4 linked regions of the Ovis aries genome follow. The protein of the gene in region 4 interacts with the protein of the main gene of each other region in a pairwise test. Links are inferred from orthologs where the notes say so. Each region holds a gene or a part of one and is shown on either strand. Other genes may lie near its edges. The genes, in order: CYTH3, CYTH1, CYTH2 and IPCEF1.

What was found.
Region 1: the proteins of IPCEF1 (region 4) and CYTH3 interact in binary tests that used the Homo sapiens proteins (3 or more experiments, as listed by UniProt). The link is inferred for Ovis aries from reciprocal best matches to the Homo sapiens genes IPCEF1 and CYTH3.
Region 2: the proteins of IPCEF1 (region 4) and CYTH1 interact in binary tests that used the Homo sapiens proteins (3 or more experiments, as listed by UniProt). The link is inferred for Ovis aries from reciprocal best matches to the Homo sapiens genes IPCEF1 and CYTH1.
Region 3: the proteins of IPCEF1 (region 4) and CYTH2 interact in binary tests that used the Homo sapiens proteins (3 or more experiments, as listed by UniProt). The link is inferred for Ovis aries from reciprocal best matches to the Homo sapiens genes IPCEF1 and CYTH2.

Annotation. Positions count from the first base shown.
Region 1 is NC_056077.1:38,556,175-38,560,963, forward strand, and holds part of CYTH3 (cytohesin-3), read right to left. Parts: intron 2,181-4,789; coding exon 2,104-2,180; intron 2,022-2,103; coding exon 1,950-2,021; intron 1,872-1,949; coding exon 1,717-1,871; intron 1,486-1,716; coding exon 1,413-1,485; 3' UTR 1,390-1,412; exon of another isoform or gene 1-1,389. UniProt on the Homo sapiens protein: Promotes guanine-nucleotide exchange on ARF1 and ARF6. Promotes the activation of ARF factors through replacement of GDP with GTP. Plays a role in the epithelial polarization.
Region 2 is NC_056064.1:52,902,933-52,908,495, forward strand, and holds the start of CYTH1 (cytohesin-1), read left to right. Parts: upstream 1-2,252; 5' UTR 2,253-2,333; coding exon 2,334-2,355; intron 2,356-5,563. UniProt on the Homo sapiens protein: Promotes guanine-nucleotide exchange on ARF1, ARF5 and ARF6. Promotes the activation of ARF factors through replacement of GDP with GTP.
Region 3 is NC_056067.1:54,895,803-54,901,188, forward strand, and holds the start of CYTH2 (cytohesin-2), read left to right. Parts: upstream 1-1,908; 5' UTR 1,909-2,033; coding exon 2,034-2,052; intron 2,053-2,867; coding exon 2,868-3,015; intron 3,016-3,113; coding exon 3,114-3,180; intron 3,181-4,194; coding exon 4,195-4,313; intron 4,314-5,386. UniProt on the Homo sapiens protein: Acts as a guanine-nucleotide exchange factor (GEF). Promotes guanine-nucleotide exchange on ARF1, ARF3 and ARF6. Activates ARF factors through replacement of GDP with GTP.
Region 4 is NC_056061.1:78,801,578-78,807,154, forward strand, and holds the start of IPCEF1 (interactor protein for cytohesin exchange factors 1), read right to left. Parts: upstream 3,575-5,577; 5' UTR 3,429-3,574; intron 1-3,428. UniProt on the Homo sapiens protein: Enhances the promotion of guanine-nucleotide exchange by PSCD2 on ARF6 in a concentration-dependent manner.

The sequences.
Region 1 (4,789 bases), on a different chromosome or scaffold from region 4:
GATGACCTCTCAGGTGTACAAACTGAACAAGGTGGGTGCCTTCGCAGTGGGGCAGGGTAAGGTCCCCCAGGGAAGGGACCCTCCACTGAAACAGCCCATGTGGGCGAGGGGGTCCTACATATAATGTGCGGGGGTTCTGGTGGTGGAAATGAAACTTACAACAAGAGGCATGTCACTGGCCCGGCCCTGAATGTCCCACCTGTGCACCCCTGGGCCATCTCTGTGGCGTGATGGGCCCAGCTCCTCACTGCACGCTTGAGCACCTCTCCCTCAGCCAGCGGCACCTGGCAACCTCCTGGTCAGGGATCTTCGCCAGTCCAACCACCAGTGCATATTTGGGGTTTTAAACTATTTACAGAAAAGCGTAAGTGCTATACACCTTCATCCCCCAGCCTGCTCTTTCCCTTCCTATAATATATCAAATCTCTCAAAACACGGAGCAAGATTGTCTCTAGTTCCTTATATGTCTACACATTACATTAATATATCTGATCATTATAAGCATTCGTTTGGCCAACAGGCCTTAAGTAGTGAAGACAGGGGTCACAGCTGGCCTGAACCATGTGTTCGGTTGGACCACGTGACACTGCTGTTTGTGGGTATCAGAAAGGGGTCAAATATGAGCAGTTTCATGTGGTTCAATACATACACTGTCCGTCCTGGGATTCAGCAGTTACAGGATAAACACCCCAAACCAAAATTTAATGATTTGTGTCTTTGTAAAAGTTATCTGCGGGGCCACGAAGACGGAGCTGGGTGACTCAGAAGACGGGACCCCTGGAGCCACCCTGCCCAGCGCGCGTCTTCAAGGACGCGGGCGTCTCCCTCCACCAGGGGGCGCCCTCGGGTTCCCCTTGAGCACGGCACCCACTCCCCAGTTGCTGCATATGTGTGTATGTAACTTGTTCTCAGTGCACAGTATATACGTGTGTCCAGAAGTTAAATTTATAGCTGCCATTCTAAAAATACTACTGTTAGAAAGTATCTTTCATTATAATTTCAGAATATAAAAAGGCGTATAAAAGCTATAATCCTATATATCTGAGAAAAAAACTCAATAAAAAAGTGGTAGCTTTTCCTTTCCTGTTATGACACAAAACAGTGGCTTCCAGAACGGCCAACACAGCCACTGCCACCAAGGAGCACGTGTGGCCCCTAGTCTGCCCCGCGGATATTCAAGGCTGGACCACCAGGCGCAGCTGCAGGCCGGGGCTTCGAGAAGGATGTACCCGGAGCTGGGAGGGCGGCGGCGGGAAGGGGTGACGTGAGGCCTCTTGAGATCAGCAGGGGCTGCTGTCCCGGAGGAGACAGGGCAGGCCGTCGGGGTGGTCCAGGGGGTCGTGGAGGGCCCCCCAGTCACTCTGCTGTGGGGTTTCAGTTTACTTTTACCTGCTGCTCAGACCAGGAAAGCTCTATTTCTTATTGGCAATCCTCCTTTTCCTCGTGGCCAACATGTCATAGAAAGGATCCCTGCTGATACTCGCTCTGGGAGAGGGTAAAAAAAACTGGGTTAGGATGGGCGGGGCAGTCCTACACACAAGGCCCCATCAAGAGCGCCACTCGCGCTCGACAACAGCCCCGCCCCTCTGACAGCCCCAGCTCGGGCCTCACCCGCCCCGACCAGACGAGAGCCCGACCCTCCCGGCCTACCTAGCGCACAGGCCCCGCCCCTGACACGCCCACAGCACAGGCCCCGCCCGGCGGGCCCGGGCGCACCTGATGGACTTCATCCACTCCTCCTTCTCCTCCGGGCTGGGCGCCGAGATGCGGTACACCACGTGGTTGCCCTCCACTACCCGGCCGTCCGCCTCTGTCTTACAGGCTTTGATGACCTGCCCTTTGTGGCTGGGGTTGTACAGCTCGAAACAGTTCTGGTGGAGACAGACACGACTGTCACCTGGTGCTGGGGGAGCGGGAGGGAAGGGCGGGCGGCGGGGAAGCCAGCTTACGGGTTTCCGCGGGTCCTCCACCTCCCTGATGCTCAGGTTCTCCAGCGGGATGATTCCCCGGGGCTCCTTATCCTGCGGGACAAAGCGCTCAGCCAGCCTCCCCCGCACCCGCCGAGGGTCCCGCGACCTGGAGGACCCGCAGCCCTGCGCTTACCGTCGTGTATTCAAAGTAATAGAGGCAGTTGTCGGTGAGGATGAACCAGCGCCGCTTCCAGGTCTTCACGCGCCCCCCTAAGAGCAGAGGGACCCTGTGAGTCTGGGCAGAGCAAGCCCTACACGAGCTACTGTGCTTTTCAGAAATGCCACTGGGGCCGAGCTGGCTTTTACACTTCGTCCTTCGTGAAAACGTTTCACATTCTGCCCCAGATCCTGGCCATGGTGTGCGGCCTGGCCTGCCCGTGGCTGCTGGGGCCCGCATGCACCCCCGCCCGCCTGCAGGGCACCCAGATGACCCGAGCGTTTCCCAAGTCTGCTTCCTGGAAGAGTTAGTCGTGATGAATGGTCTTAATTTCCCCACATGGAAATGACAACAGGATGAAGTCAGCGCCGCTGCCGGTCTGTCCAGGACTTAATCCCGTTACGTCAGGACCGTCATCGCATTACTGAGGACCTGGGGCAGCCCTGGGATCCATCAAAATCGATTATGGCCTTGGCCCAGGGAATTATTAGATTGAATTAATCTCATAACAAGATCTGGGACACACATGCACACACACAGCTCATCTGCACCCACTCTCCTCAAACTACAGAAAAGAAATCTTTCACTCTCAAATATTCAGTAGAAACCAACTGGCTTCCTTTTCTATTTCTAGTCTCTGCTTCCGACATGACGTTTAAAAACAAAAGTTGAAAGAGAGAACGTGCGCCTGGTGACAGATGTCTGCGACCCACCAGCATGAGGTAAGCAGCAGCTGCCCCGCCCCCTGGCTCCCTGGTGCAGACAGGGGAGACCCTTGTGGCTGAGGGTCACGGACCTGGTCCCTGAAACTGAGGAGCCCAGACAGGGACATGGGGGGACATGAAGGCTATCCAGAAATTGAGGCACAAGGCCTGACATTTGGGGAGATATGGGGGGAAGAGACACACGCAGACACCCAGCTGCAGGGAGGGAGCCCCGTCTGTGGTTTCAGTGCCACTGAGGGGTCCTCAGAGACTGGGACCCTCACCCTTGGGTCACTGATGAGATGTCTGTCCTCATGATGGCCACAGGCTGGCTGGGCAGGCAGGGCAGGTGTGTGGGGCGGCAGCCTCAGTTATGCCGTGAAGAGGGTCCCCAGATTCCCCTGCTCCCCTAATCTCACTTTCCATCCCCGTCAGAAGCATCTGTCCAAATTCCACTGTCCTTGGGGGCCCTCAGACCCTGAGGCCCCTTCATGCCTCCAACCCCCAAGGCCTCCACCCCCTCAAGGTGTGTCTCGAACCATGGGCAGGGATCTCTGTTCTCTTGGAAGGCCTCGAGACTCTTCTGCACCTAGACTCCTGCCCTGCTACACCCAACTTCAGTGGCACGTCTGGAGGAACCCAACCCCTGGTCCAGGTCTTGAGACCAGGGGAGCCTCTTGGGCCAGGGGCAGTGGGCATTGAGACAGAGGTGTGTGGTCAGGTGGACCCCTGAGCCTGGCCCAGCCCCAAGCCCCCTTACAGGGTGGCGGCGGTGACACTCTTGGTCTCTGAGCTCCAGCAGGTTTTGCTGCAGGAGATGGACCAGCTCTGCCCAAGCATGTGTTTGTGACTGGGCTTCAGGACAAGGAGACACACAGACACACACACAGACACACACACAGACACACACACCCCTGCAGGAAGGAGCCTGGCTGCTCCTGACTAGTATGGATAGAATCAGCCCTTTTCTCTTTGTAAACGCCTGCTGCCTGCATAGTTGTTAGCAGACACGGGCTCTCGTGCATACCACGCAAGCCTGTTCTCCACGCCAGCTCTGTGCCAACCAAACTCTTGTGTTAACACATCTGACTCACTCTCAAAACACAGTGACTACACGGTATTTACAGGACCATCATGAAGCTCATCACCAGGCTCTGCTCTGGCGGGGCACCCTGGCCTCCTGAAAGCACGGTCTCCTTTAAGATTAACTTACGACAACAAACCCCCAAGCGAGGTCATGCTAGGACCTCCAGTTCCTAACTTAGCACACGCACGGCCACAGTTCTGGCTTCTCTGCCTGCGTGTGTGTGTAGGCCGTTCAGGGGCCTAGGGCTGTGTGTCCTCACTAAGTACAGGTGTGCACCCAGGCCCAGCCTAACAAAGCCTCAGCACCCGCCTCCTGGGTCCCTAGGGGACCGACACCCAGGGACCCTTCATGGGGTCAGAACCGTAGGCAGGAGTCTGGCGCACTGACCAGCCAGCTGTGCACTGGACACCTTGGGGGACGCTAACAGCTCTGAGAGCAGAACAGCCCCAGGGGCTGAGGCTCCGGGCTGCAGGTGCGACCTGTGCTGTCACCAGCTCTGTAGCCCTCAGCCTTGGGTCTGAGGACAGAGCGGGGGCCGCGGGAACGGGTGAGCAGCAAGCCCTGGGCCCCTGGCCCCTCCCGGGCACCAGCCGGCCCTGTGCCTGTCGGTGCCCTGCCCCAATGCTGTGGTCCGGTCATCTGCTCGACCAGATGACAGGCTGGAACACGAGCCCTGGTGTCAGACATCTAGTTCAGTCTTTAGAGTCACCCAAGGGGCACTGGGGGCACCCTGGCTGCCAGGCAGGCCTGTGCTGTCACCACCCCGGGGGGGCCCTTGCTGGCGACAGAGAACAGGAAGAGCCCAAGTGCAGCTGCTGTTCTTCTGGGCACCTTCCCTGGGCCCTCATCCCAGGCCCACAGGCTGGATGGG
Region 2 (5,563 bases), on a different chromosome or scaffold from region 4:
AGATGCAAGAGACATGGGTTCCATTGCTGGGTCAGGGAAAATCCTCTGGAATAGGAAATGGCAACCTGCTCCAGTATTCTTGCCTGGAAAATTCCACGGACAAAGGAGCCTGGTGGCTACAGTCCACGGAGCTACAAAGAGTTGGACACAACTGAGCATGCATATGTTGTCAAGTACATTTTACGTCCCTACCCAGTGCATTCATTTACAACCAAACCAAACATTATCCTTACGGTACAAGGTGGATGCTGATTCTCTTTTATTCTATCTTCTCTTCCTTCAATGGAGATTGGTTTTTCAACCATTCAGAGTCAGGACCTGCCACTGGAAAACACTGTTGTAATGAAACAATGTAAGTTAAGGGGATTTGTTTACAGTCAAAAACCAGGCTAATCGAAGTGATTAGCATTCATGCCCTTCCCATCCAAAGGTTTGGGAGTTCAGATCACAGGGAGAATTAACCTGTGGCCTCAGTTGCTTTTCTGCCCAAGTTTTGGTCATCGAGCAAGAGTTATGTAAAATCAATGAAGATTAAACTCTTAGGTCCACCAGAATCAAGCTTCTATGGATAAGATAATCTCTGTGAGGGAAGTGTCTGATTTCTGGAGCTATTGGAAAGAAACACTTGCCTAAGGAAATAAAGCCCATCTTCTTGGACATACGGGAGACATCAAGCTTCACCGTCAAAGCCTGGGTCCGACAGCTCAGGGAGTAACAGGGATATTTTTGTTTGTGAATGCACAGTTTTCCTAGCCACCAGAAGGGTGGGCCAGAGCTGCACCCTGATGGAATGTGAAGATTGGGATCCCTTAGACTGATAATGTTGGAATCCATCTCATCAAACAAAAACATTGTCAGCTGTGCTGAAGTCAAGCAGAAGACAGCAACAGATCACAGATCAGTACTGGGCAGGAGCCTGGATTTTATAGGCAGATGCTTCATTTCACGGGTGTGAGACAGGTCCAGGGGGCTGAGGTATTTGCCCAGATCACAGAGCTAATAGGAAGCAGATGTGGAAAGAAAACCTAGAGTTTCCTCATTCATTTACTCCTTTTCCATGAGAGGAAAGGGACTTTCCTTTGTTGTCTACCGGGAGGCATGTTTTGGAACGGTCTGTAAGGAAACAGACTGCTGAGAAGGGTCACAACTCCCCCTGATGGAGATATTCCCTGACATTTCAGGGGCATTGCCAGGACCTTGGGCTGAGCTCTTCTCCCGCAGCACCCCCAGTACAGCACATTGTGCTAGGGGGTCCAGGGTCATGCCCCCCAGGAGGGTCCTGGACCATCCCTGTGTGATCCTTCCAAATGACACACTTATAATTTTTATGTGTAGCACCAAATCAAGAAAGAGCATATCCATCCAGGAACAAGTAAAAAAGCAGCATTTTCGTTTATTTTTCTGAATTAAAAATTGGTGATGTCCCCACCTCCAGGTGCAGAACTACTGCCCAGGCTCCTCAAAGGGCAGCTCAGTCTAACCAGTGGGTGGGGATTGGTCGGTCAGCCCAGTGCAGGCAAATAAAACATGTAAGGCACAGCCTAGAAACGTATGAATCCAACAGTCGCAGGAATCAAGGTCACCAAAATCCTGACATGCTGTGAGGCTGAGGTGCCTCTCTTTGAAATTTGATCGGGGTACATTCAGAGGACAAAGAAAAGGAAGTATATAAAGGCAATGAACTCATGACATTCACGGTGCTAAGGTTCAGACTGCAGAAATAATGAACTCAAAATATTCTGGTATTCGGCCAAGGACTAGCAGGACCTGTGAAACTAACGTCAGCGAGGACCACCCTGCCCTTGAGTGGCCGGACACGACCTTGGTACCTCTGTGGGCGGCTGGGCTCTGGTCTGTTTCCCAGGCCTGCGCCACCCTTAGGAAATCCGAAACCTGCTGGGCCCCCGGAGGCGGCCGAGGCGGGGCCTCGGGTTGGGGCGTGGTCAGAGGCGGGGCCTCGGCGCCCGGGGCCAGCCAGAGGGGCGGGGCCTCGGCGGGCGCGCGTACGCAGTCCTGGGCAGAGTAGAGGACGCGGCCCCAGGGGTGCGCGCGCGGGCGACGGGGGCGGGGCCGCAGGCCCGGGGGCGGGGTCTGGGCGGGCGCGCGTGCGCAGGCGCGGGTCGGGAGGCGGCCGCGTGCTGGGCTCTGTGTGTGTGTGTGTGCGCGCGCGCGCAGGCCGCGGGCGGGGCGCCCCGCGGGGGACGAGGGGCGGGCGGCGGGCGGCGGGCTTGGGGCCGGGGGCGGGGCTCTGAGACTCGCCGGGCGAACGGGGCCGGGAGCTGCGGGACCTGGGGCGAGCGGCGAGCCCAGGCGCGGAGCCTGGCGCCGGCACCATGGACGAAGACGACAGCTACGGTCAGTACGGCCCTCGGTCCGGCCGGCGGACGCCCCCTCCCTTCCTCCCTTCACCGGCCCGGCGCCTTGGCCGCGCCTCAGGCGACTCACGTTTCCCGGGGACTGTGGTGCCGGACGCGAGCCGGGCGGGGCGGGGGCCTCCTCAGGGCAGGGGGCACCGGGGGCCCCGAGTGTTAAAGGCTGAGGGGTGATGAGGGGCCGACGTCGGGGTGCACGGGTCTCGGGGGCCGGCGCTGGGGGTCGCCGGGCTCCAGTCTCTGGGGCCGCAGTCGTAGGACCGGGGTCTCGGGGCCTGAGTCTCCGAGGCGGAAGTCCTCCAGGGTGAGGGTCTGTCTCGAGGCCGGGGTCTAGGGCGGGGTTCAGAGGAGGGTCTCGGGGTCCGGGTCTCGGGCGGGGGTCTCGGGCCGCTGTCCCGCGCAGGCCCAGCCTCCCCCGCGAACGCTCAAGTTCCCCCGGCCGTTCTCCGTAGTTTCCGGCCCCTTCGGTGCTGGCAAGTTATGTACCCTGGTCCATGTCTTTGTTCAGAAACAAAAATGAGAAAACACAGGCAGCGAACCCCGAGTGGACAGGCTGCCACCTGACGGTGCCGTCGGGGCCGGGATCTCCTGCCGCCGGCCACCCCAGGGTCCGAGGCTGACCGCCTCTCCGCGGAAACGGGGCTGCTGTTCCCCCAGCGCCTGCGGGGCGAGCCCGAGGGGCGCCGAGAAACCCAACTTTGCCTTCTCATCTGTGCCCAGAGACGCGGCACAGCCCTCACGCCACACCGACAGCGAACGCTTGACAAAACTACCCGTTTCCAAAGCCTCCTTCTGCTGACCTCACCTGGGAACTGTTGGCCATCCGCAGGGCATTCGTCTGTCAAATGGCTTCAGATTGCCAGGCTGGCAGAAGGCTATGTGGAATGCTTTCGTTAATTTATTTAACGTTTTATTCCCAAGAGATGAAAGAATGGCAGATAGAACAAGTGGTGAAGTTTTGTGGTTTGGTAAGCAGAGTACAGACAGCAGTTTGAAATGCTTGTGTGGCTTAGTGGAAGCGAATCCGCTTTCTTGACTAAGTGACATAGGCGACGTTTGTTTCTTAAGCTCTGAGGGAGCAAGCTTTGTTGTGGGGTATGTTAAAATGTGAAAGGTGAAGCACCTTGTTACTTTTCTGTTTGTTTACGAGTAAGTCATTGAGGAACCACTGACCGCAATAGGTGGGTTTATGACCCACAGTGGCAGACAGGGGAAAGGCCAGAGCACGTGGGATCGGTGTCCATCAGATGTCCCCTGGTTACCTTCCAAGTAAAAGCAGTGTGTGCTTTTCCTCTGTGATTGAAAAAAGAGAAAACACCCACGATTGATCCCAAAGGACTTTTCAGCCCCACTTAGGTGTCTGTTTCTGCCCACCCAGGAGAAGCCTTCTCCAGCTTTGCGTGCTCCTGTACCATCTCTTGCTGTTTAATCCAGGCTTTCTTCATGCCCTCTCCTGGTGGTCTTACCCACCGCTCGAGGCAGGAAGCTGTTGGTCTGGTTGCTTTGAACACAATGACTGCTTTGCCACCAGGCATGGCATGAATTCGTGCTCAGAAAGGGTGAATGGAAGCAGGGTGTATTTGTTTCCTGTGGCGGCTGTAACAGATTGGCACAAACAACATAAACTTGTTATCTTACAGTTCTGGAGGTCAGAAGTCCAAATTTGGTCTCACTAAGCTAAAATCAAGGTGTTTACTGGGCTGTGTTCCTTTCTGGAGGTCCTAACAGGAACATCTGTTTCCTTGCCTCTTCCAGCTTCTAGAGACTGCCCCCGTTCCTTGGCTGCTGGCTGCCTTCCACCTTCAGAGTCAGCAGGTAGCATCTTCTCAGTTCTGTCTGGCTTCTGCCTCTTCTAGTTAGGGCTCTGTGACGCCATTGGACCCACCTGATAAGGATAAGGATCAGCAGCCTTAGTTCTCCAATGGTAACCCCCTTTTTGCCACGTAGGGGCGGCGTGTTTCCAGGTTCTGGGATTAGGACAGGGCTATCTCTGGGGCCCATTATTCTGCTGACCACACATAAAGATGAGGAAGAAGTTGTTCTTTTCTTTCTGTTTGTACAATTAAAAAAAAAACATATTCTTCGTATATTGGAGGAAGCAGAAAGGTTGATTTAAAGATTTCCCCCACTCATTGGGTTTACCACACAAAAAGTACCTAATGGTTCAAGATGATCATAACAAGAAAAAGGTTCCTAGTTCTTTTTAAGGTTTGCCTCAGTCTCCAGAACTTTCCATTTCTCTCCTAGGTTTTACAGAGAATTTACCTCAAAAGATAAGACAACTATTCACATTCCACCTTTCAAACTAAAGTGGGTGCTGTGGACTCAAACAGTGCATAGAATGCCAGGTCCAGGGGGTTCCCTCGGAACCTCCATTGGTGGTTCATGAGTCAGCCTAGGTCACTACCATGATTTTTTAACATTGTATCTTTGGGGACAGGGTTTATGATTTCCATGCTATCACCTTGCTAGATAAAACCTTTGAAGCATAACTCATTTATAATAAGCTAAAGAAAGAGAATGTGTCTTAGAGTTTCTCTGTTCAACGAAAGAGAATTTTGAAAACTCACCAGAAGGCTTTTCCTAACTGCATACTCTTTGATGTTCTGTGCTGACCCAGAAACCACACCACTGAGTTCAGCAGCCCTTTCTCTTGTTCACTCCCTGTGATCCTGAGTTGTTTATTTGGTCTAGTTGTAATGCACTAGATCCATACAGCATAGTTCAAACTACACATGTGGTGTGATAAACCAGACTGTGAACACCTGTGTGAAGTGGGGGGGAGGTTAAACAAAAGTCAATTTAAAGCATTTTTTTTTCTTTTAAGAAAAATGTGGAATTAGTGGTTTTCTAAAAGCTTAATTGACACTTTAAGAAAGATGTTCCTAATGCTTGTGGCTGGCTGGTCTTTATCCCCGCCCCCCCTTCTTTCTAAACCCTGAAATAGTTGGGATTTTTGGGGGGTCATTTTACGTTCTTATTAGATGACTGTACTTCCTGGATGTCACAGTTCTCACTTGTAAAAGGAAGAGGTATTTTTACCTTCATAGCGTTCCCTGCCCACGAAAGGACTCAGTGACTGTATTCCTTTTTGTTACTTCTGAATTCAAGCAGACATTTTTAACACGCAGTCTGCTTCTTAATGGGCTTTCAGGCCCCTCTGAGATTGTATGTGAGAGTTTGTGAACGTG
Region 3 (5,386 bases), on a different chromosome or scaffold from region 4:
TCTAGGTCTGAACTTGGATGCCTGCATGACAGGGAAGGCAAGGGAGAATATGGGTTGTGGCTAAGGCCAGAATCACCTCCTTTCTGGCCCAGCTTGGAGGGGCAGGGGAAGGAGGAGTTACCTCTGAATGTCAGGGGAATGTATGTGTTTAGGGAGGCTTGTCCCCCAGGTCAAATTATTGGGAACCCCAGTGGTGTGTCTGGGAGTGTGCTTCTGGGGTACATATGGGTCCTTGAATCTGGCCTCTGCCCATGCTGCTATCTACCTAAGTGCCTAGCAGGTGGAAGCCAGTCGAAGAAGGAGTCAGTGCCAAGGAGGACATGTTCCCACCTCTGTGTGCCAGGATTGAGGGCAGGCACTGTCATTGCCCATCAGCCTGTCCCGGTGCTGCGTCAACCCACTTGCCCCCTTCCTGTTTCCCCACCTCCCTTTATCCTGCAGAATCTCCAGATAATAACCGGATGGGATTAATTAGCTGGCTGCTCCCCCACCTCTGGGTGGCTGGAGTAGGCAGCAGGACAATGGAAACCTAAGCATGAAGAAGGGTGTTAAATTGGAGATGAAGGGACAGGAAAAGGGTTCTGTTTGGAAGGGGAGCGAGTGGGGTCAGGACTGGCACAACCTGAGCTTCTGGTAGGGAGGGCAGAGCCTGAGCCACTCATAAAGGTCACTGAGGGGATTAGGAGGCTTCGTGTCTAATCTGTCAGCTTAACCAGGTCCTGGCCTGGAATCTGTCCCTGCCTGCCGAACTCTGGGACGATGAGTGAGGCCCAGGCCCAGACACGACCCTCAGACCCAATTTGGGACCTGTCCGTGATGGGGGTGCCCAGTTTCTCCCTCCAAGCCAGGCCCCTGCACCTGTTTTGCCTTCAAGGAATGGAAATGAGAGGCGGGGGAGGGGAAATGGCCTCAGATGCCAGAGGAGTCGGAGAAGAGGGAGGAGTTTAAGAAGAGCAAGAGTATGAGAGGAGGGGGACGCGAAATGAGACAGAGAGGAGGGAAAGGGCTCGGAGAAGGGAGAAGGGATCAGAGGTGGAAGGATGCTGAGGAAAGGGGAACTGTCCTGGGCACGGAAAGGATGCTAACCTAAAGGAGGAGTTTGGGGGAGAGAGGGAGGAAACTGAGAGGCTTCGAGAGGCAGGAAGGCAGAGCCTGTCCTTTCACTGGATTTGGCCTTCCTCTATAGTCCCATTCTCCTCTACAGAGACCATAAAGCGCAGCATTTGGAAGAAAGTCTTTTTTTTCACCACTCCTTGACTCTGAAGAGGCTGAGGTGGATGGGGGAGGTCAAAGGAGGAGGGTAAGGAAAGGGTCTGCAGATCGGAGAGGCCAGTACATTTGAGAAAGGGGGCCAAAAGGAAAGTGAGCCAAAGCGGCTCCCGGTTGCTTGGCAACCACTGCGGTCAAAAGCCAGGCGGGCCAGCTAGGAGGTGTGGCTCAAGGAAACAGCAGGGAGCTGTGGCCCCGCCCCCTAGCAACAAGCCTAACAAAGTACCGCCCCCTAGCGACGTATTGCTATAGGCCCGGCTCGATTGACCTGGTATCCTATTGAGCAGAGCCCTTGCGCAGGCGTAGTCCTCCCTCTGCGTCTGCTTAGTCCCGCCTCCATGCATCTCCTTTTCGAGGCTTCTCATTGGAGGGGAAGCCTGCCAAGAACCCTTTGGTTTCGGAGGCGGGGCCCGGCCCCTGCTCTCACTCCAATTGGCCCCACAGACCGTCTACTTTGGGCTGAACGTTGCTACGCCTGCTCCTAGTGCGCCTATTGGCCCTGGAGGGCGATCCTTCGGTTTCGGAGGCGGAACAGAAGAGAGGGCACGCCGTGGATTGGGCGGTGTCAAAACGAGGGGCGGTCCCTACTGGCGGGGCGGTTGGGAGACGAAGGGAGAGTCTTTTCAGCGCTGAGGACTGGCGCTGAGGAGGCGGCGGTGGCTCCCGGGGCGTTTGAGCGGGCTCACCCGAGCCCGCGGGCCAACGCGGATCCGGGCCCGACCGGCGGGACCGCCCCGGACTCCCCGCGGGCCTTCCTAGCCGCCATGGAGGACGGTGTCTATGGTAAGTCGGGGAGGGGCGGGGCCGGCTGGGAGCAGATGGAGCGTTTCAGCCCGAACGTTCCGCCGCGAACGACCTCCCCCACCACGACGCGCGCCTTGAGAAGCTTGTTCGGCCCTGTTGTCGCCTCGCTTTTGTGGGGCGCGGGACGGGCTTCCGGCAGGGCAGGAGAGCGGGGCGTTCCAGGCCATTGTTTGGGCCGAGCCTGTTTCCGGTGGCAGCGGGAGGGGGTGGGATGGAGCGGCGGAGGCGAGGCTGAGGCGGAACCATTCCCTCTGGAGGGGCCGGGCGAGCCCAGTGCCTGCCGGGAGAGGGGAGGGGGGCTTCTGGGGACGGTGGGGTGGGGAGAAATCGTGTGGGCCAGAGATTCCGCTAGGGCCAGGGCGGGGGCCTTCGATGCCCCACCCCTTCCTTCACTCTCGCAAGCTGTCATTAGCTTCCCCTGCCATGGTTACTTTCCATGGACCCAGGAGTCCGGGCACCCAGGTCCCCAGCTACCTCGCCGAGAATGGAGGCAGAAAACCAAGGCCTCAGGCCCCTTGCAAGTAATGAACCGCAGTGTCAAGCTTCCAGGCCCCTTTCCCCTGTAAACCTTAGAGTAGAGGCTCCAAGCCCCCTTCTCTCCCAAGGACTAAGAGTCTAGATTCCCAGCCCTTCCTCCCCTGGACTGACCCCCAGCCCCTTCTTCCACTGACCGGAGGCGGGACTCTTATCCTCATCCTCCCCATGAACCTAGGAGCTCTGTCCTTCACCAGATTTCAGAAGTCCAGGCTCCCAGTCCCCAGAACTGATCTCCCACCCCTGATTCCCTCCCCCAGAACCCCCGGACCTGACTCCGGAGGAGCGGATGGAGCTGGAGAACATTCGACGGCGGAAGCAGGAGCTGCTGGTGGAGATCCAGCGCCTGCGGGAGGAGCTCAGCGAAGCCATGAGCGAGGTGGAGGGTCTGGAGGCCAATGAGGGCAGGTGAGGGCTAGGGCAGGGAGCCTAGGGGTCATGGGGCCAGGCGAGGGCCAAGGATGCCCAGGCATTGACCTTGCACCCTCTGCTCTCTGCCCCTGCAGCAAAACCTTGCAACGGAACCGGAAGATGGCAATGGGCAGGAAGAAGTTCAATATGGACCCCAAAAAGGTGCTTGGGGCCACAGGGCTGGGATCGGCCAAGCTGACATCCAGATAGGATTCTGGCATCTCCGGGTTCCAGAAGTGTGGTGGTTAAAGGTCTGTCTTAGGTGGACAGAATTGGTCCTGATCACTGGATCCAGATATTGGCAGTATTTGTTCCCTGAACACTAACCAAGTGCTTCAGCCTCCTGATCTTTGTGTATGCTGGAACTTCTACCTGAGTGGTCCTCCTCTCCTTTTTGCTCATATTTTAGGACCCATTTCTCTTGCCACTCTTGAGTCCCCAGGAGGAGCTTGATTGAGTCTGGTAGGGAATGTGGACAGAGAAGTGCCATGACAGAGAGAAAGAGAGGTACTGGACTGTGGACACAGAGGAGTGAGCCTGGTGGCATCAAGGAGGGCTTCCCTCAGGAGGACATTTGGGTCAGGCGAAGGATGACTGAGTGTTCACCCAGTGGAGAAAAGATGTTCGTTCATTCATTCATTCATTTTACACCATTTCCTCAGGCCTCCCTCTGGGCTGCGGCTCTGCTAGGTACTGCATAGGACCCAGTGTAGGGTTTGATGCTGCCTTGCCCTCAGGGAGCCCCTAGACGCAGATACTAAAATCCAGAGAGAGGGGTCCTCAGTTCATCGTCCTCAAGACATCAGGAGAGCCTGAGAAAGACCTCCAGCCTGAGCCCTCACAGCTCCTCATGAACTGATGTCTTCTAACAGTTTCCCACTTTATTCTTCTTGCCAGAAGCAGTGGTAGTTTGTAAAGTCATTCAGCAGACATTCATGAAGCTCCTGTTCTTGCCAGGTCCTGCTCCGGGGGGACTGGAATTCACCAGGCAAAGGCAGAGGCAGCAGTAGATGCAAAGTCTAGGCTGCGGGAGAGGCGGTGTTTAGGGGCCTGGGAAGAGCCTGAAAATGAAACTCAGGCCCCGCTCTGTTGAGAATGGGGGTGGGTTTGGAGGCTAAGGTTTCTAGGGGTGTCTTTCTGAGCATGCCAGCACTGAGACCCAGCCCTTCCCACCAGGGGATCCAGTTCCTGGTGGAGAATGAACTTTTGCAGAACACACCTGAGGAGATCGCCCGCTTCCTGTACAAGGGCGAGGGCCTGAACAAGACGGCCATTGGGGACTACCTGGGGGAGAGGTGAGAATCGCACTCCCTGCACCCAGCTCCTGCTGGGCATCTCCTCTCTGCCCCTTGCACCCAGCTTTTGTTGAGGAGAGGCCCTGATAGATGAGCCTTGCAACTGGACTGTGACAAAATGGACTGACACAGAGATTGGGGTGGGGGACCTTTTGAGGAACCTGGGGATCATCTGTGAGCATGTGGAGGGTATGGGACATTTGAGGACATCTGAGCAATGCGGGGACCATCACCCATTTATGTCAGGACAGTGGAGAACATTTGTGGGTGGTATGGGAGCGTGAGAACCATTGGAGACAGCTGGTGTGCATGGGAGCGACGTGGACAGTGATGCAGGAAGTGGGAGGGGTCAGTCAGTGGATATCTGGGGAGCATGAGGGGCCCATGGACATCTGGAAACATGGGGGCCATTTGTGGATGTCCGGGGTCTGTGGACCACCTCCAAGCATAGAGTGCATGAGACGTCGGGAGTGTATGAGGACCAGCAGTGGATGTCTAGGGTGCCTGGGAGTTTGTGGACTTCTGGGACACATGCGGACGACCTTTGGATGTTGGGGGTGTGTGGGGACTATCTGGACTCCAGGGTGCTTGGGACCTTCTGTGAAGTCTGGGAAACCTGGGGACCATCGGTGCACATCCGGGACATGTGGAGGCCGTCTGAAATGTCTGAGGTGCACAGGACTGTGAGATGCCCAGGGTTTGTGTGGACATCTGGGTTCTGTGGAACCTTCTGGATATCTGTGGCGCAGAGACCGTCTGGGGACAGCTGGAGGGCATGGGGACTGGAGAGTCTGGGAGCATGGGCGTCATTTCTAGCTGTCTGGGGATCGCTTGTGACATCTGGGGTGCATAGGGACAGTCCGGTTGTCTGACATTGTGGGGCTGGTTTTGTGGGCATCTGGGTTGCCCTGGGACTCTCCGTGGGTCTCTAGGGGATAGGAGGCCATCTCTGGGCATCTATGAAATCTGGGGTTCATCAGAGATGACCAGCAGAGCACATTTGCTGTGTTTCTCCCAACTGCACAGAGTTCCAGCCACACCAGAGTTCTTAAGGCAGATGGTCTTCCCAGGAG
Region 4 (5,577 bases):
AGACCCTAAGAAGAAATATTTGCTACTCTACAAAAATATTTTTCTGATCTCTCCCCAGGTATACCAAGATGAAAAAGACAAGTCAATATTCCCTTAAAAACTAGTTACTCTTATGACAGCAGATATAAACTTAATTTAGAACTATCCAACTGACAGTTGAACTTGCTAGAATGTCACCCAATACAGCTTCAGAGGCAGTTATAAATCATCTAGAGAAAATAGCCTTTTTTCGTGTGTTTCTAGGAACCAAGTAGGCTAGTCAGCCCCAGAGGGGATCTGGTTCACTATTCTCACTTTAGAGCTGTCACACAATTCTGCACCAGACTTAATCTCAAAGGGGATTCCCCATGAAGATTAAATAATCTAAATCACGTCATTTCAACTGCAAGGAACCACAAAGTTTAGCACACTATAACTAAAAACTACTTAGTGGAAGATTAAGAGTTAAAATTATGTTGATTTTTTTAACTTTTATTTTGTTTTAACATTTATTTTGTTTTCAGATTATTAGGGTAGTCTCAATATGCTTCACTAATGAAAAATTTGAAAAAAAAAATAGAAAAGCTTGAAGACAAATAAAACTATCATCAGCTATAAACCAAATTGGTGGTGGTGGTGTAGTCACTAAGTATGTCTGACTCTTGTGACCTCATGGACTGTAGCCTGCCAGGCTTCTCTGACCATGGGATTCCCCAGGCAAGAATACTGGAGTGGGTTGCCATTTCCTTCTCCAGGCGATCTTCCTGACCCAAGAATCGAACCTGGGTCTAGTGCATTGCTGGCAAGTTCTTTACTGACTGAGCTATGCGGGAAGCCCATAAACCAAATTAATTATATGTTAATGTATTAACATATGTACCTCAGTCTTGTTTCTCTGCAGTGTTTTACTTAGCTGAAAGTTGTTTCTTCTTTTTATTAATTTAATCTTAGTATATCACAATATTTCATAAACATCATTATATTGATGGTCTTTTTAATACACTATCATGTATTTAACAATCTTGAAAACTAGGCATATAACATTTATTTTTAATCAATAATTCATGAATCATGCTTATTTTGTGAAATTTAGAAAACAGCAAAAAATAAAGAAAAGATAAATTGGTGATTAACTTTGTAAGTGTGACCATAGAGTTTTAAAAACTGAAGGAAATATGTTGTCAACTGCCATTTGGTAAAGATCTATGAGATGGCAGGCACTATGCCACTGCATTTCTGATCCTTACATGACAGCAGAAAAAGCTCATTTTATTATAATCATCACTTTGAAGGTTCAGAGGTCATAGAGCTAGTAAGTGGTGGATACAGACTTTGAACAGCTGTGTCTAATCCCCAAACTGTTTCCCGACTACATCACACTACCTCCCATCATCACCTCCACTTCACGACTTCTTCCACCGCCACCTCCATCACCACCACTATCATCTCTACCATCACATCTATGGATCTTTACCATCACCTTCACCAACACCTCTCTCCATTATCACCACTTTCAACACTATCTCCATCATCAGCTCTATCATGTCCTCCATCATCCCTCCACCACCACCTCCAGCATCTCCACCACCACCTCCAGCATCTCCATCACCACCTCCAGGATCTCCACCACCACCTCCAGCATCTCCACCACCTCCAGGATCTCTACCACCACCTCCAGCATCTCCACCACCACCTCCAGCATCTCCACCACCACCTCCAGCATCTCCACCACCTCCAGCATCTCCACCACCTCCAGCATCTCCACCACCTCCAGCATCTCCACCACCACCTCCAGCATCTCCACCACCTCCAGCATCTCCACCACCACCTCCAGCATCTCCACCACTTCCATCATCATCATTTTCAGCACACATTTCCATCATCAGCTCCACCACCACCTCCGCATCACCTTCATCATCACTGCTCTACCACTACCTCGACCATCATCTCTACCAGCAGCTCAGACTCTACGTCACCACCACCTTCACCACCACCACTTCCATGCCCCCTGCACCTCCACACAGGCCACCATAATGCCACTCTTAAGGTTCCTTATCATCTCTTTTCTATATACCCTTTCTTCTCTTCCCACCTTCACATTCTCCTCTCCTGCTTCACTCTGACCTTTTCCAACCTAGACTTCCTTATGTGCCTGAGTCATAGAGATAAGGCAAACACTGCCAGACTACACTCATTTTATGAACAATCCCATTCAATCATTCATCCATTGCACAAACACTGACTGAGAGCTTAGTATGGGACAGGCACTGTTCTGAGCACTGAAGAATTCAGTAATTTTTCCCTTTGTAGGATTTTCTTCAATCTCAAAGAGCTTATAGAATTTTCTTCACTCTCACACAGCATTTACCCCATTAAACTTGCTTGAGTTCCCAACTCATTCTGCCTGGCCTCCACAGCAGATGGAAAGCAGAAGTGAACTGCTCAAAAAGGATACGCGAGTAAAAAGGAAAGTCTCAGGCAATAGTCATGAAGTAACTTTTTATCACTTATTGCCACAGCAAGCCACCACAGGAAAGAACTTCCTATTTCCATACTGCTTAATGCAACTTGCCTATAAGAGTTCACACATGGACTGTCTTCAGAGAAGATACTTGAGAAATAAAGAGAGGAGAGGGACGTTTAAAAATAAAGAATAAGTATACCAACAAATATACAAACTGAAGTCCTTTTTCTTCTCACTTGCATGATGTGCGCAGAAGGAAACCTATGTTCTTTCTGTTTCTATTTCCAAGTCAAATTTTAATTAGCTGTAGAGGAATCCGAGTCTGTGTATGACTATACGACGCCTAAGAACACACAGGCCCCTACATACTAATAAATTCCACTACTACAGTCAGTAATGCCTTAGTGACTTATAATCCTGTCTCTTACAATTAAGTTTCTTTCACATATTCACAAGCAAAGAAAACCAAATGTTCTAGACGTCCTGGGTAAAAACCTCTGAACCAACATTACCAAAGTTCCCATTTCATACAGAGATATCTTATCAAGCCTGTCTTTTTATCTAAAAGTAAAATCCCCTCCAGCAGTCTGCATACAAAGGAGGATTCTCTACAAAGAACACACCTTCTCAAAAGAGGCTGGCCCCAGAGTGTTTTCCCAGATGAATTCCTCAGGACCCACACACTTGAGGAACTGAGTTTTTCTAAATCATGGTCTGCAGTCCCAGCAGTTATCAATACAACATCTACTATAGAAATAGAAGAAAGGAGAGTTCACGGTTCTCTCCTTCAAAACTCTAACAGTGTCTGTAGTACTGGACTTCCCAACAGCAAGTTTATGAAGAGCTGAGCAAACATGATATCCCAAGAGTCACATCTTACTCACAGCTCACTATTTTAAAGAGAGTGCCAGAATATCCATTGCTTCACCATCTTGAGATGTCAAGCAATGACTTTATACGTCAGCCAAGGAGTGGTTTTACTTACATGCAATAAAAAGAGAGCAAATCCAAGCACCAGCTCTTTATGCCTGATTTCAGAAAATTCATAATACCCTGAGGTCAAGGTTGAGGATTCCTCCATATGCAGCCACAGTTCAGGCAGCTCCACAGGACGACCATTAGAAGCTGGCCAGAGAAAAGAGCTCTTTCAAAAGAAGAGGAAGTGTCATCTCTACTTCCCCAATCTCATTGTTCTTCCTTCTTATTGTTAATAAGCCTTCCTTGATTCCAAAACACACAACACAATTCATGTAAATTAGTTACGTCCCCTCTGTCAGACTCCATTGATCACTAAACACTATTCAGTATGTTCATTTCCAGGACGCACGTGGGAAACAGTACATCGTTTTGCATTCTCATTTTGGAGGCAAAGATGTTTATTTGCAGGCGAGGGTGGGGTGGGGTGGGGTGAGGTCATTTGCAGAGCTGTTCCTGGTGGGTTTAGTTGAAATCCACATTTTTATCATCAGCCTCTCTTAGGCTCAATGTTCTCTTGCATTTCCCTTCTTTCTCACCTCCTAGTGTTCGGATTACTCCTAAATAGATGACACAGAAAAATGTGCAGAAAGTATCTTATGTTAAAAATAAGTCAGCCTGCCTTTCTCCTACAGCATAATTAATAGATTCTCTAACTTTAAAACTTTCATTTCACATGCTCGAAAAGGCAAATGACAGGGGAAAATTAGGGAGACCGGAACTCACCATCAATAAATGCCTGCCCTCAGACTTCTCGTTTTCAATACCAGCATCTTGTCTCCTTAAACCTTCTTGAGGAAAGAACATAATGTCACTGTACTTATGGCCCACTTTCAATGAAAAGGAATCAAGTCATTTGAAACAGGCTCACGACCATGCAGTTTCCCAAAATGTGGTCACTAGATCCTTAGCACATATATTAGTTATCTATCGCTGTGTAACGGACGACCCCAGCACTTAGAGGCTGAAAACAACAGACACCTATTACGTCTTAGTTTCTGAGTGCCGGGAATCTGGACCCAGCTTAGCTGGAGTCTCCACAAGGTTACAGCCAAGGAGTCAGCAGAGACTGTAATCATCTCAAGGAAAAGAAACGCCTCCAAACTCACCCACGTGATTGTTGGTACGATTCAGTTTCTCAAGGGCAATAGGATTGATGATCTCGATTCAGTGCCAGCTGTTACCCCGTGGGTCTCCCTTCAGTCGGTTCAGGACATGGTGGCTGGCCTCATCAGAGCAAATAAGTGAGAGTGAAGGAGGATGAGAATGAGGAGTCCAGCTCCTCTTAAATCCCCATGTGTCACCTTTTAGACCTGATCACAGGCAATTATGAAGGCTCTCCCTGGAAGGCTTCACAGGGATACTGCCTTCCCCGCACCAGACTTGGTGACAGCAGGACCCCACAGCATCTGAGGGGAGTGGTGGTCAAGGTCCCAGGCTCCCTGTCAGTCCTGCTCTGTGGCATATTTACATTCCAGAGTCATTTTACCTGAGGCCTGGGGGCAGGGTTCTCTTCTGGGGCCTCTGCTAGAGGCCTCATTATGAAGGGGGGTAGGGAAATCCCCATTACTCAGTTAGGGCCAGTCTATTCCTGGCCCTCCTCCCACATACCTACATGCACCTCAGGGGCCATAAAACTGCCAATCTTTTCTTTGGGGGTGGCAAACGGATGGGGAAACAATGGAAAGAGTGACAGACTTTATTTTCTTGGGCTCCAAGATCACTGTGGACAGTGACTCCAGCCATGAAATTAAAAGACACTTGCTCCTTGGAAGAAAAGCTATGACAAACCAAGACAGCATATTAAAAAGCAGAGACATTACTTTGCCAACAAAAGTCCATCTAGTCAAAGCTATGGTTTTTCCAGTGGTCATGTATGGATGTGAGAGTTAGACTATAAAGAAAGCTGAGCACTGAAGAACAGAAGCTTTTGAACTGTGGTGTTGGAGAAGACTCTTGAGAGTCCCTTGGACTGCAAAGAAATCAAACTAGGTGATCCTAAAGGAAATCAGTCCTGAATATTCATTGGAAGGGCTGATGCTGAAGCTGAAGTTCCAATACTTTGGCCACCTGATGCAAAGAACTGACTCATTGGAAAAGACCCTGATGCTGGGAAAGATTGAAGCAGGGAGGAGAAAGGGACAACAGAGGATGAGATG